Struthio camelus: one gene and its partner. The protein of the gene in region 1 purifies or fractionates together with the protein of each later gene. This does not show direct contact. Links are inferred from orthologs where the notes say so. Each region holds a gene or a part of one and is shown in the gene's direction. Other genes may lie near its edges.

The links. The genes of interacting proteins can lie anywhere in the genome.
Region 2: the proteins of EIF3H (region 1) and EIF4G1 purify together in Homo sapiens (affinity purification with mass spectrometry; 4 studies listed by BioGRID). This does not show direct contact. The link is inferred for Struthio camelus from reciprocal best matches to the Homo sapiens genes EIF3H and EIF4G1.

What each region holds. Positions count from the first base shown.
Region 1 is NC_090943.1:157,389,293-157,396,113, reverse strand, and holds the start of EIF3H (eukaryotic translation initiation factor 3 subunit H), read left to right. Parts: upstream 1-3,804; 5' UTR 3,805-3,889; coding exon 3,890-4,009; intron 4,010-6,821.
Region 2 is NC_090950.1:22,673,500-22,680,685, forward strand, and holds the start of EIF4G1 (eukaryotic translation initiation factor 4 gamma 1), read left to right. Parts: upstream 1-4,185; 5' UTR 4,186-4,311; intron 4,312-6,083; exon of another isoform or gene 6,084-6,144; intron 6,145-7,186. Other genes in the region: PSMD2 (26S proteasome non-ATPase regulatory subunit 2), read left to right, coding at 1-144, 463-557, 727-853, 940-1,058, 1,141-1,323.

The sequences.
Region 1 (6,821 bases):
CTTTGATTCTTTTGATGGAAATTAGAAAAAAATGTGGAATGGGCCTCAGTATAGGCACCAATAACTTCTAAAATCACAGTTAGCCTCATGACAAATACTAGTGCTTAAAAACTCTTTGGCACAAAATGCCAATGCAATTATATAACCTGATCTTCAATTTTCACATTAAACTAATATGCGGGAAGTGGTAAAGAAGCTCTGGATGAATATCTGACGCCTTAGAGGATTATATTTCTCAGTGAAACAGAACATGGTAGATCCTGTAGAGGTAAGTATACAAAGGGCCTGATCCGTCAGTGACTTGCATCTGGTGAAGTGATTTATACCTGAACAAAGTGAGTGCAGAGTGCTACCTTATTTATCAGTGAGAACCTTGGTCAGCATGGAGATGATACACCAGGGGATATTTTATTTCCTTTAGAAAAGAAAGAAGTGCTAAGGTCAGCAAAGTACAAATGTCTGAAAACCCTGGATTATACAGGGTTTATACGCAACTCTTATTCCTGAAGCTGCGGTAAGTATTTGAAATTGCCTGCTCATCGCTGTTACTGAGTTTCATGTAGCTGTAGTTAATGGCAGGACTAATGAATGTACTTGGCAAAAATTGTGACTACTGCAGAGACCTGAGGGTTCCTATTACATCTTCCCTCTGACCTCTTTTGTTTGTAAACAGAGGATAGAATGAAATGGTTTAAGACACCTTGTCTGCCCCGCTTTGGTCATGGTTTCTGGAACTGGTGCTGCCATTGACACAGAGGGACTTTCTTGTCATAAAGGTTTTCAGTCTGCCTATGGGATATGAGAAGGGTGTATAAGTGAGGGGCTAATATTGAAAGGCATCCTGTGAGTCAAAAAGGGATTTCAAAAGGAGTAAAGAGCCTGTGTCGTTTAGCATGTGAAGAATTATGTGGAATAATTTTTGTATTTGAATGTAGGGATTAAGTACAGCTTTATATTCACTACAGCTCTCAAATACGAGCCTTTCTTTACACAGAAAAGATGTGAGATTTTTACTTTATTTTTTGTCTTGCCTGCTAAGGCCGAGTAGGTATGTTATATGTAATCGCATATGGGAGAAGGTCAGTATTACCCTCATAAGGAGATGTGCCAAGTGCTTGTTTTTCTTGAGCCTGAATACCTCATCTGTTCCAGAAAACTAAGCTTTTCTAACTTGACCCTTCTGTAAGTGTGCAAGATACTACAAGGCAATTTTAACTCTATGTTCAGAGAATCTGTTGCCACTGAGTTTCGGAGGCTGCTTTAATGGACATAATTTCTTTTTGTAGGTAATGAAGGTTGTTATAGGCAATTGTAGTTATTAATGCAGCTTTGTATTTGGGGTGTTGTTGTGCTTCAATACAAGCACAGACTGCTATATGTGTTTCCTAGGTGATTCTTTCCTCTCCTGTATACTTTGTGATAATGAAATTAAGGTATTCATTATGCTTAGAAATATTTGGAATTGTTGAGGGCAGGGAGAAAAATCACAGAATTCAGACACAACCCATTTACCAAGTGGTAACAAGTTGTTGCAGGTTAGCTGATCTCTGGTAACTATGTATGTGCACACTCTTAGCCTGCAGCCTATGCAGAAGAAATTCAAGTTGGTTTAGCCCTTAAGGTAAAGTTAGTCTGACAGTTTGGAAGGGATTACATCTTTGAACGCTTGATCAGATAATTTCCATTTAGCAACATTAGTTCTGCTCATAGCACTGATATGCTGCAGCAACGCTGCAGAGAGAAATGATGCATCTGAGTTATATCAAAGTTTTTATTTAAGCAGGAGTGAGGAAGAAGGAGGTTTCTTTTTGTTCCGTCTTTTGACTTACAGTATCATTTAAAAATGATTAATAGAGTTTGTGCATGGCTTGAATTCTCTAAACTATTTTGGGATGGAAGTCTTCTGTTCTGTGGTTTTCCTGAGTAGCTTAGGCAATGTGACTAACATTTTCCAGTTTGACATCCTTTTTGTGTTCTTCTCTTCAAGTATTCAGTATTTTCAGTGCTGAAATTTCTCTTCACTTCCAGTGATCTCATGAGTTACATAAAGTTGATATTTGTGTCTCATTTTTCATGTTAATCATAATTAACCAAATTGACTGAATTATTTTGGCAGTGCATTAAGTAATGTGAACCTTATGCCAGTTTTTATAATAGGGCTATTTTGGGTGCCCACAGCAACTTCTTTGAACATGCTGATGTTCTGTGCTGCAGCTACTTGCCCTCTCCCTTTTTTTTTTTTAATTACACAGACTTTTTGTTCAAGAACCGATAGGCAGGAATAATGAATCACATTTGAGTTAACCCAGAGTTTTTCATCTCTCTTCAATTTTGACATCCTTAAGAATTTGCCAGTAGTGAAGCATTGTGATAGAAGGGCTGTTTTTCCTTTTTAAGTACCGTTCACCAGTATCTTTGAAGTAGCCCACAGATCTCCAGGACTGGAGTTGAAAACCACTGTATTACCATAATACTGTTTCCTAGCCTTATTTTTCTTTAATTAAAGCTATTTGATTATATTTGCAAATTAAATCTGGATATGCATGTGCATATAACAGTAATGTTAAATACTGATATTAAATCAAGAAACTTTACTCTCTAGAAAAACTTCAAAAGGCAGTGCCAGTGGGAGTGCAGCATTCAGTCATGGAAGCTTGCTAAGGGTATGACTCAAATTTACGATAGCTGAGTTCATTGGCCACAGTATACTACCTTGAAACTCTTTGTTGTTATTGCATCAGCCTCTCTACAGATCGTATTTTGAAGAACAACGCCTTAACGCCACTGCGCACGCACACCTCGTTCTCCTTGGGGCACTGGGCACGTTTGACGTCAACGGTACTCCAAATCTGAACTTTAAGCTCAATCTCCACTTAACAGTTTTTTTTCCCCAATGGGAAATCTAACTGGGATTCATCTTACTTAACTTTAGATATCTATCATTTCTAAGCAAAGTATCCAGGTCTCTTGTTATAGCTGATGCAGATGCAGTCAGTGGAGTCAGTGGTGTTCAGGATACGATTTGCCTGGTGGGTGCAAGCAATGTACTGGATTCTTTGCTTGATTTTCTTCCAATCCTGATATTAGGGATGTCTAACAGGAACATGCTGGGTCTGTCCCCACTGGGAAGATGCAGATACATCTTGGTACTGGCATTGGCAAACGTCTCCCTCTCGCAGTTAGAAATTAGTGTCAACTACCTTGTTAGAAAAGCTTGGAGTGAATTTTTAGACACATACCTGGCAGAGGGTCTGGAGGACTCTGGGGCGTTTGATACATCTACCCACCTTTCAAAAACAATTTCATTCTTCAGCAGACGATGTAGGGATTGGAATACTATCTTTTTTGAAGCAAAGCAAAACCAGCAGTTGATTTTTCATAGAACACTTTAAACCCTTTCTCGAGAACAACATGAGACATGGTTCAGGGGGTTTTGTTTCTGTTTAGCCTTTCCCTCTCGCACCCCCTCCCAGCGCAGGCCTCAAGGCACACACCCGCACTGCGCCCAACCCCCCTGTTCCCGCCGGCTCCCGTCCTCAGCTTTCACACCTGCCTCCTTGGGAACTTCTCCTCCCCTTATTTCAAGCTGGTTTATTAGCTGTAAATCTTCCCTCACAAGCCGATCCCCCTCGCGTCCCTGGGAGCCCCGGCGCAACACCGAGGCCGCGCACCGCCCCGCGCCGGCGGCCGCCACCCCTCCCCGGCCGAGCCGCCGCCACCTCCCCGCTCCGCCGCCGCCGCCCCCCGGCGCCGCAGCGCGCATGCGCTCTGCCGCCACCGCCTCCTCCCCCGGCTTCCTGGCCCCCGCCCGCGCGTTTCCGCCCGGACGCTTTTCCCTGGGCGCTTCCGGTGTTTCGTTTTTCTCTTTCCGGCCGGTGCGGGGGGAAAGATGGCGTCTCGCAAGGAGGGCTCCGGGGCAGCCGGCAGCGGCTTCGGCGCCTCCAAAGGCAAAGGCAAGGCCGCCGCCACGGGGGACTCGGCCGTCAAGCAAGTGCAGATCGACGGGCTGGTGAGCGATGGGGCCGGGGCCGTTGCTGGCGGAGGGGCGAGGCGGGCGGGCCCGCGTGGGGCCGCCGGCGGGGCGGTGCCGGCCGGAGCGCAGCGCAGCGCAGCGCAGCCAGCGGGGGCCCGGGCCCGTCCTGGCGCCGGGGTCGCCGGGGCCACCCGAGCAGCAGGAGCGGTTTCATCCCCCTTCCCCAGCTTCCTGACGCCCGGCCGGTCTCCCCTTGCGCTCCGCCCTGGGGAGGGGGGCGGCTCCGTCCCTTGTGTAAGCGAAGGCAGGGGTGTTAATTGCTCTTCGATATTTTCTTTCTTTCCTCCACTCTCCTGCCATAATATCCCTGGTTTCTGTTTTCACGTTTCACAGCTCAGACTATTGAAAGATACGTAATTATAAGATATGGGGAGCAGGCTGGATTTTTTCAAGGAGCAGTGAAAACTGATGAGTCATGAGATGTAGCCAGCAACTGTAAGCAGACCATAGCGAGGTGGATAGGGGTACGTGTGTGTCTTTTTAAACAAGTTTTAGGGAAGCTTGCGAAAATAAGTTGTTGAGTTCAGGACATAGGTTGGTAGCTTTAATCTTATTTCTGTGGGTGTAAAAGCTGTTTTCTCCCCCCCCCCCCCCCCCCCCATGTGTTCTGGGTTTAATACTGCCTGTTGATTTACCTTTTCTTTTTTTAGTTCGTTTATTAATGAAATAAAGAGAACGGAAGTTTCCAAGCTGTGTTCTCTATCAGATATGTCATCCCCTTTGTGAACTACTGCCCATTCAAGTCAGCTGTCTGTAGTCTCAAAAGGTTTGCTGTTGGACCGCTGTCTAGCAAATGTTTGTGAACGCTTTTTCCTTTATGTGGTTTTTTTCCATGTCCTTGTGTGTTATTCTAATACATGGTGATGTCTCTTACATGGAGCCTGTGGAGGAGAAAGTGGCCCCCCCTTTTAGCTTTGTGTCCACCTGCTAAAGACTTGTGCTGGTGGATCTTACACAGAGCTCTGTCAGGATACTAACTGCGTGGTTCACAAACTTCTGTGGTGCCTGTCGAGAAGAGAAGTCTCAGCATATATTTACTTGCTTTGTAACCAAAGTGACTCCTGTCAAGTCCTCAAAATGTCTTACTGAAGTTCTGCTTAAACTTTTCTAATACCTTCCTGTTTTTAGGGTCTTACCTATGCTCTCATGAAGTGATTGAATCTTTGTTAGTCTTGGCTTGATGGTTACCGGGGTAATTACTTGCCAAAACTTGGGGTGAATTTGGTGGGAGTCAGTGGTCTTTTCATTCCATCTCATGGCGGCACCGTTAGTACAGCTAGAGCTATACATGTCTACCCCGCTTCTTCCACAAGCTGCAAGCAATCCCATAACACAGGCAGTGTCTGCCCCTATCATATGGATGAAGTGGCTCGTAATGATGGCTTTATTTACATCTACATAATGAAACAGTAATAGAACTAGAAAAGAGGCAGTTTGGCTGCTAGATCTGAGTTTTAACTTCTTTTTTCTTCAGAAGAATGAATGAGTGTGGTTAACTAGCATCATTGTGATTTAATTGGTGTTAGTTCAGTGATAATTAAATGAATAGTAATCTTTAACTTCATACTTTTTAATGAAAGTCTATTGAGTTTTACTGTAAATGAAACACAAATGTTGCATCTGAAATATAAATATGAAATACTGTTTTCCTAAATGCAAGCACATCAGTGATAAAAGATTGTTTTTGCAGTACTTAATGTGATCAGTCACGTGTATGGTCGCTAGTGCATTAAAGACTGAGTCAACAATGGTTTTGGTTTCTTCCGGAGTAAAAGTGTACAGTCCTACTACTTCTTTTCATATGGTAGGGATTCTTTTCTGTAGGTAGTGTTATTGTATTAGCCTTTATTAAAGACAGTTTAAATGGTTGCTGTTTCAAGGACTTGTAGGCTAAAACTTGTAGGTGAGCATGACTAATTCTTTCAAGTGGAACTATTTTGAAAGCAAAGACACACTTTATAGGTAACTTTTTGAATCTGCATATATAAAATGGAGATGCATCAATCTTCTGTATATGTCGGAATGCAATAGGACTTTTAGAAAGCCTGTTACATCAGAGGAACAGTAAAATAAAAGACAATAATATTAGTAATGAAGAGAAAAGTTTTAAGTGTCAGTGTGTTAGCTTAAAACATAATAGATAAATGATGATGCAGCAATACTTTACTGGCAGCCTCTTAAATTTGATGCAAGCACACTACTTTGTTAACTTCTTTCTTATTTGAATCTGTTTAATTCCTTATTTTATTACATATTGGTGCAATTTGGATTTAGATCAAGTGCAATTTCGCTTCAGGTTTAACTCCATGAGAATAAATTTAAAAAAAGCACTGTCATGGCAATGCTTTAGAAAAAAGCTAACGATGAGACCCTAACTGGTAAGATGAGCTAATTCCACATAACTTTTTTTACTGTTAATGCTTCTTTAGAGTACTCTACGAAATTACAGCACCAAAACTTCCAAAAGTTTGGGGAGAATTATCTTGCGTTGTAGACATTTAGTATCTTGAATGAAGTACCTGAAGGCTTGTTTATAAAAATGCTTCTGAGATTAAATCTGGACATAGATTTCCCACCTTTGCAGTTTGACAAATATTTTGTAGTCACAGGAAGGAGAGGAAAAATGAATATATCTGTATACTTTTCCATCAGCTTTTCTGCCAGCAGAGTCAAAATCTCAGTTTTCAAATGATATGTAAATATGACTAGCTAATGTGTTTGCATGATGAGCTTTAAAGTATTTTACTCCATGTTTGTTATCCTGAACACTTCAAGGGATTTTTTTTTT
Region 2 (7,186 bases), on another chromosome or scaffold:
GTCGGGCTGTGCCCCTGGCCCTGGCGCTTATCTCGGTCTCCAACCCCCGGCTCAACATCCTCGACACCCTCAGCAAGTTCTCCCACGATGCTGACCCTGAGGTCTCCTACAACTCCATCTTTGCCATGGGCATGGTGGGCAGTGGTAAGCCTGGGGGGAAGCTTGCCTGCGACCCCTGCTTGGGGTGTCTGTGTGCTCACAGCAGGGGGAAGGGCAGCCACCATTCCTCTGGCTCTCGCGCTAGTCTGTCAGCACTAGCTGGGAATGCTGCCCAGGTACTTTGCTGATCAGAGGGCTGGACGAGGCCTTTCGGGTGGAGGGAACTGGGCTTGCTGGAAGCTGCGTGTTTGCCTGTCCCAGGGTTTGTGGCTGGATGCCCTGCACCCTGAGGAGGGGAAAGCGGAAAACTAGGGCCGTGGTGGCTGTGTTCCCTGATCTCTATCTGCACCTCCTCTTCTCCAGGTACCAACAATGCCCGGCTAGCAGCAATGCTGCGGCAGCTTGCCCAGTACCACGCCAAAGACCCCAACAACCTCTTCATGGTGCGGCTGGCCCAGGTGAAAATCCCACACTTGCTGCTTGTGGAGGGGAAGGGGAGGTTGGGGTGGCTGTCCTGTGCGTTGGAGGGGAGTGCTGTCCCTGGGCTGTCACCCCCTTGGCTGGCAGGTCTGGGGGGTCCCAGGCGCTGCCTAACAGCTCTCTCTCATGCTTTCTCTACCCCATCAGGGGCTGACCCACCTGGGCAAGGGGACGCTCACCCTGTGCCCCTACCACAGCGATCGCCAGCTCATGAGCCAGGTGGCTGTGGCTGGGCTGCTGACTGTCCTTGTGTCCTTCCTGGACGTGCGCAACAGTGAGTACTGTGGGGCCGCCCCCCTTCCTGCCACCCCTCTGCTCCGTGGGATGGGCTCTGCCCTGACCCTTACGTCTTCCTTCCAGTTATCCTGGGCAAGTCCCACTACGTTCTCTATGGGCTCGTTGCTGCCATGCAGCCCCGCATGCTGGTCACCTTTGACGAGGAGCTGCGACCTCTACCTGTATCGGTTCGGGTAGGACAGGTAAGGGGGCAGCCAGAGCCTGGGACAGGGTGCTTGGGGGTCCCTGTGTGTTCTTGGCCTTCATCTCGCTCCTCTCTTGCAGGCTGTGGATGTGGTGGGCCAGGCAGGAAAGCCAAAAACCATTACTGGCTTCCAGACTCACACAACACCAGTGCTGCTGGCACATGGAGAGCGGGCAGAGCTGGCCACAGAGGAGCACGTGCCCGTGACACCCATCCTGGAGGGATTCGTCATCCTACGCAAGAACCCCAACTACGATGTTTGAGCTACCGGGGAATGGGGATAGGGTGGGGGACAGGACGCGGGGCAGGTGGTTGGGGTGGGGGGGGGGGAGAAGGTGATTTGTTTGTTACTGTGATTTGAGGAAATAAACTATGCGGAGACTCTGGTGCTGCCATGCTGTCCCTGCACAGGAGGCACAGGATGGGCTCTCATCCCCTCTGCCCTGGCCAGACTGGGTACACTGCAGTGAGGCCATGTCCATGTTAAGCCTGGAGCCCTGAGCTGATGCAGGCCAAGATCTTCCCCCAGCCGGAGCAGGGAAGAATAGGCTCCTTTCCACGGAGCCCTAGCCAAGTCTCCCTTAGAGGGACACTGTGGCGCTGGAGCAGGTTCGGACCCCCTTAAAGTTACCCTTTCTCTGCTGCTTCTGCCAGGATGGACAGTGATGGGCAGCTCCCCGGGTTCTGCTGGGCCCTTGGGTAGCTGATGCTCTCAGAGGCTGGGTGCAGTGCAGGCCCCAAGAGGCAGGAGGTGAAGGCAGAGAGCCCCTGTGAGCTCGCCCTGCCCCCACGGGGGGCTGCAGGCGTGCAAGTTCCCAGACTGGTGTGGGTCTCGGCCTTGTTAGGCCGTGGCCTTGTTCCGGCTCCTGTTTCTCCTTGCCCTGTGTGTGTCCGTGCCTGCACGGTGCCCTGGGCGCGTGTGGCCGGTGCGGCAGGGCGTGCCTGCGTGGCACCCACGCCGGCGTTGTGCAACTTCCCTTCCCCCCCGCGCCTGCGTCAGCACAGACTCCCTGTCCCGTGGTGAGGTGGGTGTCTGGCACTGCCTGTCCTGAGCTGGGCCTCTCGTCATGTGGAGTCTCTGCTGGCTGATAGTGGGGCTCAACTGCTCCCTGGGGTGCGCTGGGCTGTTGCCGGCTTTCGGTGCAGCTCGTAGGAGTGCAATTCCTTTGGAGCCCTCGTGGGACCAGGATCAGGGTTCAAATAACTCTTGGGGCAAGCTGAAGGAGATGGGGTGGGGGGAGTTTCTTAAGAAAGAGAGGAAAACCCTAAGCTGTTTCTCAAAATACTGGTACCACCACCCTGCCACACCAAGCAGGGTGCCCTGTCCTGCTGCCTGGCGAGCTGCGCGCTTCCCCGATGCCTGGGGGTCCCGCAGCTCAGCTGGGCCTCTTCGCAGAGTGGGGGCTATGGCCTGGGTGCCTGGGACTGCTGGTGCTCAAGGGGACAAAGGGGACCTGCTGGCTGTCCCCTGCAGGTGCCTGGCACTGCCCCAGCGTCCCAGCCCTGCGTCAGCCTCTGGGGACAGTGTGGCTGGATCCTGGGGACATCTCTAGCCAGGGCCTGGCTTTGTGCTGCTGCGTGTCAGCATCCTTCTGTCCTCCCTTGGCTCAGGTCCCAACCCCGGGGGCACCCGCCACCCTCCCCGAGGAGGGGTGGGGGCCTCGTCACCCGCAGACCTGCTGCTGTGCCCCACGCAGGGCAGCAGGAGTGAGGCCAGGCCTGGAGGGTGCTCGGCACCCTGCTGGGGCCTGGGATCCTGTGGGGCCGGCGCGAGGGTGCAGAGAGGTTGGGTATGGTGTGCTGGGCTTCGTGTGAGGCCTGAGGGGTGCAGGGTTGGGTGCTGGCACTGGGCCCCAGGGGTGGGCACAGGGTATTGTGTCCCATGTCCCAGGTGCAGGGTGTGGGGGTGCTGTGTCCCACCCCAGAGGGTTAGGGTGGTGGGTGCAGGATGGGTGCCAGCTGCAGGAGTGCTGGGTGCGATGTCCCAGGCACGAGGGTGGGTGTAGGGTGGTGGGTGCAGTGCTGTGCAGCGCCGGGGTGGTAGGTGGGTGCAGGGTGGGCACGGGGGGAGGTTGGCTGGAAAGCTGGTTGGTGGGTACGTGCAGGGTGCTGGGCCCTAGCCTGCGGGGTGCAGGGTTGGTGCTGGCTGCAGCGTCCCAGGGATGGATGCAGTCTGGGTGCTCTCTCCAGGGGGTGCAGGGTGAGTGCAGGACGCTGTTTCTGGATGCAGGATGGGTGCAGGGTGCAGACAGGACGTCCTGTCCTGAGGGGTGCAGGGTGGCTGCAGGATGGGAACAGGGGAACGGAGGGCACAGGAGGGGTGCTGGGTGCCATGTCCCACGGGGTGCTGCAACCGGAGAAGTGTTGGGTGGGTGCTGTGTCCCACAGCGTGCCGGGGGAATGCTGGGTTGATGCTGGGTGGGTGCTGGATCCCGGTGGGTGCCGAGTGGGGTGTCCTGTAAGGGGCCGAGTCGGTGCTGGGTGCGGTGTCCCACAGGGGGCCAGGATGATGACGGGTGGGTGCCAGGTATGGTGTCCCACGGGGACTGGGTGGGTGCCGCATGGGTGCCCGGTGGGGTGTCCTGCGGAGGCTGGGTGCGGTGCCGCGTGGGTGCCGGGAGCGGTGTCCCGCAGGGGCCGGATGGGATGTCCCGCGGAGGCGTGCGATAACGGGTGCGGTGCCCGGTGGGGTGTCCTACGGGGGGCCGCGTGGGTGCAGGGTGGGATGTCCCGCGGAGGCCGGTCGGTGCCGGGTCGGTGCCGGGTCGGTGCCGGGCGTGGTGTCCAAGGGGGGCCGCGTGGGTGCCGGGTCGGTGCCGGATGGGGTGTCCCGCGGGGGGGCCGGGTGCAGTGCCGCGTGGGTGCCGGGTGCCGCGGCGGCGCCGCCACGTGCTGCCGCACGGGGGACCGGGGCGGCGGGCGTGGCCACGGCGGCGGGCGTGGTTTACGGCGGGAAGGGGCGGTCCCACGCGGGCCCCGCCGCGGCGGCGAGGGCGGGGCGCGTACCCGGCCCCGCCCCGTCACGTGACGGGGCGAGGGGGCGGGGGGGAGCGGGCCCGGCGCGCCGGCGTCACGTGCGGCGGGGCGGCGCCCAGACAGGCTTCAGGCGGCGGCAGCGGCGGCCGCCTCCCGCCCCTCCCCCCGCGGCGGCGGCGCGTGGCCCCGCCCCTGCGCGCGGCGCGGCTCCGGAAATGGTCGTGCTGCGCTGCGCTGCGGCTGCGTCGGGCCGCGCGCGCTGAAGGAGACTGAAGGTAACCGGGCGGGGGGCGGGGCGCCGCGCCGGGGGGGGGGAGGCGGGGGGGCACCGGCACCGGCCGCCTCCGCCGGGCCCCGCCGCGCCGCGCCGCTCCGCGCGCCGCCGGGCCCCGCCGCCGCCGCCGCCACCACGTGGGCGCCGCCCCGCCGCCGGCCCCCGCCCCTCCCCCACCCGGCGCCCCCGGCCCGGCCCGGCCCGGCCCGCCCGGGCGCCGCCGCTCCGCGCCCACGTGCCGGCCCCGCCGCCGCCCGCCGCCGCCTGCGCACGTGCTCCCGCCGCCGCGCCCCGCTTAGGCCCCGCTGCCGCCGCCCCACGTGGTGCGCGCTCGCCGGGCCCCGCCGCCGCCCCGTCGGCCCGCGCTGCCGGTGCTTCCCGGCGCGCCATGGCGGCGGCCGGCAGTGACACGTGTCCTTGGCAGAGGCCGCCGCCGCCGCGGGGGGGAGCGGGCCCGGCCGGATGCGGCACCGGGCCCGGCCGCCGCGCCGCTCCGGGGGCCGCCGGGCCCGCTGCCGGCGGGGCCGCCGCCGAGGCCTCTTTCCCCCCCAGCCGCGCCCCGGTGCCGGGGCCGGCCCCCAGCGGCGCGGCTGCCGGCGGCCCGGCCGGGGCCCTGCCCGCGCCGCGGGGCCTCCCGGGGCCGGTGTCACGGCGGCCTCGCCGCCCTCCCGCGGGGATGGTGCCGCCCGGCCCGGCCCGGCGGGGCGGCAGCGGGGTCGGGCGGCCCCGCCGGCGAGGCGGCATCGCGGCTCCCCGGAGGCGCCGGCGGGGCCGGTCCGGGGGCTGCGTCAGCCGCCGGCCGCCGCGGCCCGTCCTGCCCCGGGCACTGTCGTCAAACCGCGGGCGGGCGGGCGAACCGCCCCCTGCCCCGGCCTGCCGGAGGGGAGCCCGCGGACGGACCGACCGACGGGCGGCGCCTCCGGAGCGGCCCGGTCGGAGCTGGCACCGGAGTGCGGTCTCGGCCCCTTTGGGCCGGGCTCCGGCCCGTGGCCCCGGAGAGGCCGCTGCCTGGCGGGGCGTCCGCGGGGGCTGCCTGGGGCGGCGCGGGGGCTTCGCCCCGTTCCCGTCCCCAAACGCCCCAGGCGGCGCCTGCCCCGGCCTCGCTCGCTCGCGGCCCCGACGGTCTCGGGCCGGCGGGTCGGGTCGGTCGGCCGCCAGCCCCGGGGACGCCTGGCGGGGCGGTGGGTGGAGCAGGCCCCTCCTGCCCCGCCGGGGGCTCCGGCCGCTCCGAGGCCACGAAAAGGGGCGTCTCGCAGCGCTCGGCGGGCACGGCGGCCCGAGCCAGCAGCTCCCTCCCGTTGCGACCCCCCGCCACCCGCGGCTGCTCCCCTTCCCCTCCCGGCGGAGATCCGTCCCGTTGACGGGCCACCGCCACACCGGGACTTCCCGGATGTTTTATTTGTGCACGTCCGGCCGGGGAGGTTTCCCCGGTGCGAGGAGGGGGCCGGCGGGGGGGTCTGGCGGCACGCGCGCCAGGGTGGCTCGGGGCGCGGGGCCTGGCGCCCGGCGTGCCTGTGGGTGGGGTTTCGGGTGCTCCGGGGCTCGGCGGCTCTGCACTGCAGCACGCCCGGCCATCCCAGCCCAGCCCAACCCAGCCCCGGCGGCCTCGTGCTCCCGGCCGGGCCCCGGCGTCCCCCATGTCTGCGCCGCGGGGCTGTCCTCTCCCAGCGCCGGCAGGTTTGCAGGCTGACTTTTCTCTCCCCCTCCCACCCTCTTTCCCTTTTCTCCCTCTCTCTCTCTCCCCCCTTCTCTCTTTCCTCCTTTCTCTCCAAGTCAGTCGGATGAAAGGTCTCTGCAGGCCCGCTCAGTCGGCCCAGGTTTTTCCCGCGGGGGGGTGAGTATCTAGTTCTCTGCCGGTTGTGCCTGTGCTGGGGGGCCGGGGAAGCTGGGTTTGCCGCCTGTCTGCGCCGAGACTTGTGGCGGGGAGAGCGGTGCGGTTTTGGGAGCATGGCAGTGTCCTGGAAGCGTGGCTGTCCCCAGGAGTTCCCCGCTCCCTTCCCTTCCGTGTTTTTTTTAACCCCCCTCCCCTTTCCTTTTCCAAGTAACTTGTGCCAGCACCAAGCTGTCTTTTTAAAATGGCCCACGCTGCCGCTTCCCAGGGCAGGGCAGGGGCGTCTGGGCACGCGCGGCGGGCGCGCTGGGCGGTGGGGTGCCAGCGCGGGTTCCTGGGGCCCATGCCTGGCACTCAGCGCCCCCGGGAGCCAGGGGACAGGGCGAGCGCTAGGGTGCAGCCTTCTCTGAGGCCTGAAATCGGAGCGGGACTGATCCCTGCCTGGGCTTGAGGCTGGCGGTGTTGGTGTCTGGGGTCCCCCAAAGGCCGTGCAGGCTCTGTGTCCCCCCCCCCCCCCCCCCCCGTGCTGGGGACGTGGCCCTGGGGGTGCAGGGGATGGGGCACCCCATGGCCTGAGGGTGCTGGCAGGCGCCGGGGCAGTAGCGTTGGTGGGATGTGCCCGGCGCTGCCCTGCGGGGGGGCCGGGGGGTGCCCCGCGCCCCAGCCGCAGCCTGCCTGCGGCGCTGGGGGGCCGGCAGGGCTGCGAGCGCTGACGCGGCCGGGCGTCAGGTTACAGGCAGGCACGACGGGCTGCTCCTTCGGGTGGTCCGGCCGGGGAGCGAGCTTGCCCTGGCCGTGGCCGGTGCTCCGAACCGCCGTGGGGGTGAAGGGGGCACCTCCCGGAGCGGGGGGCACCTCTGCTCCTTCCTGCCCAGGCAGCCTTTGCACTGGGGCAGGGAGAGCGGCACCGGGTGCCAAGTCCCGCCTGGGATCTGGCTGGGGTTTGTCAGGGCCGTGGCCCGAGGGGAGAGCCCGGAGGGTGCCTGGGCTCCCCTGGCACGTGGGTGCTGGCAGCCAGGGTGGCAGTGCCAGCCCCTGGGGGGGG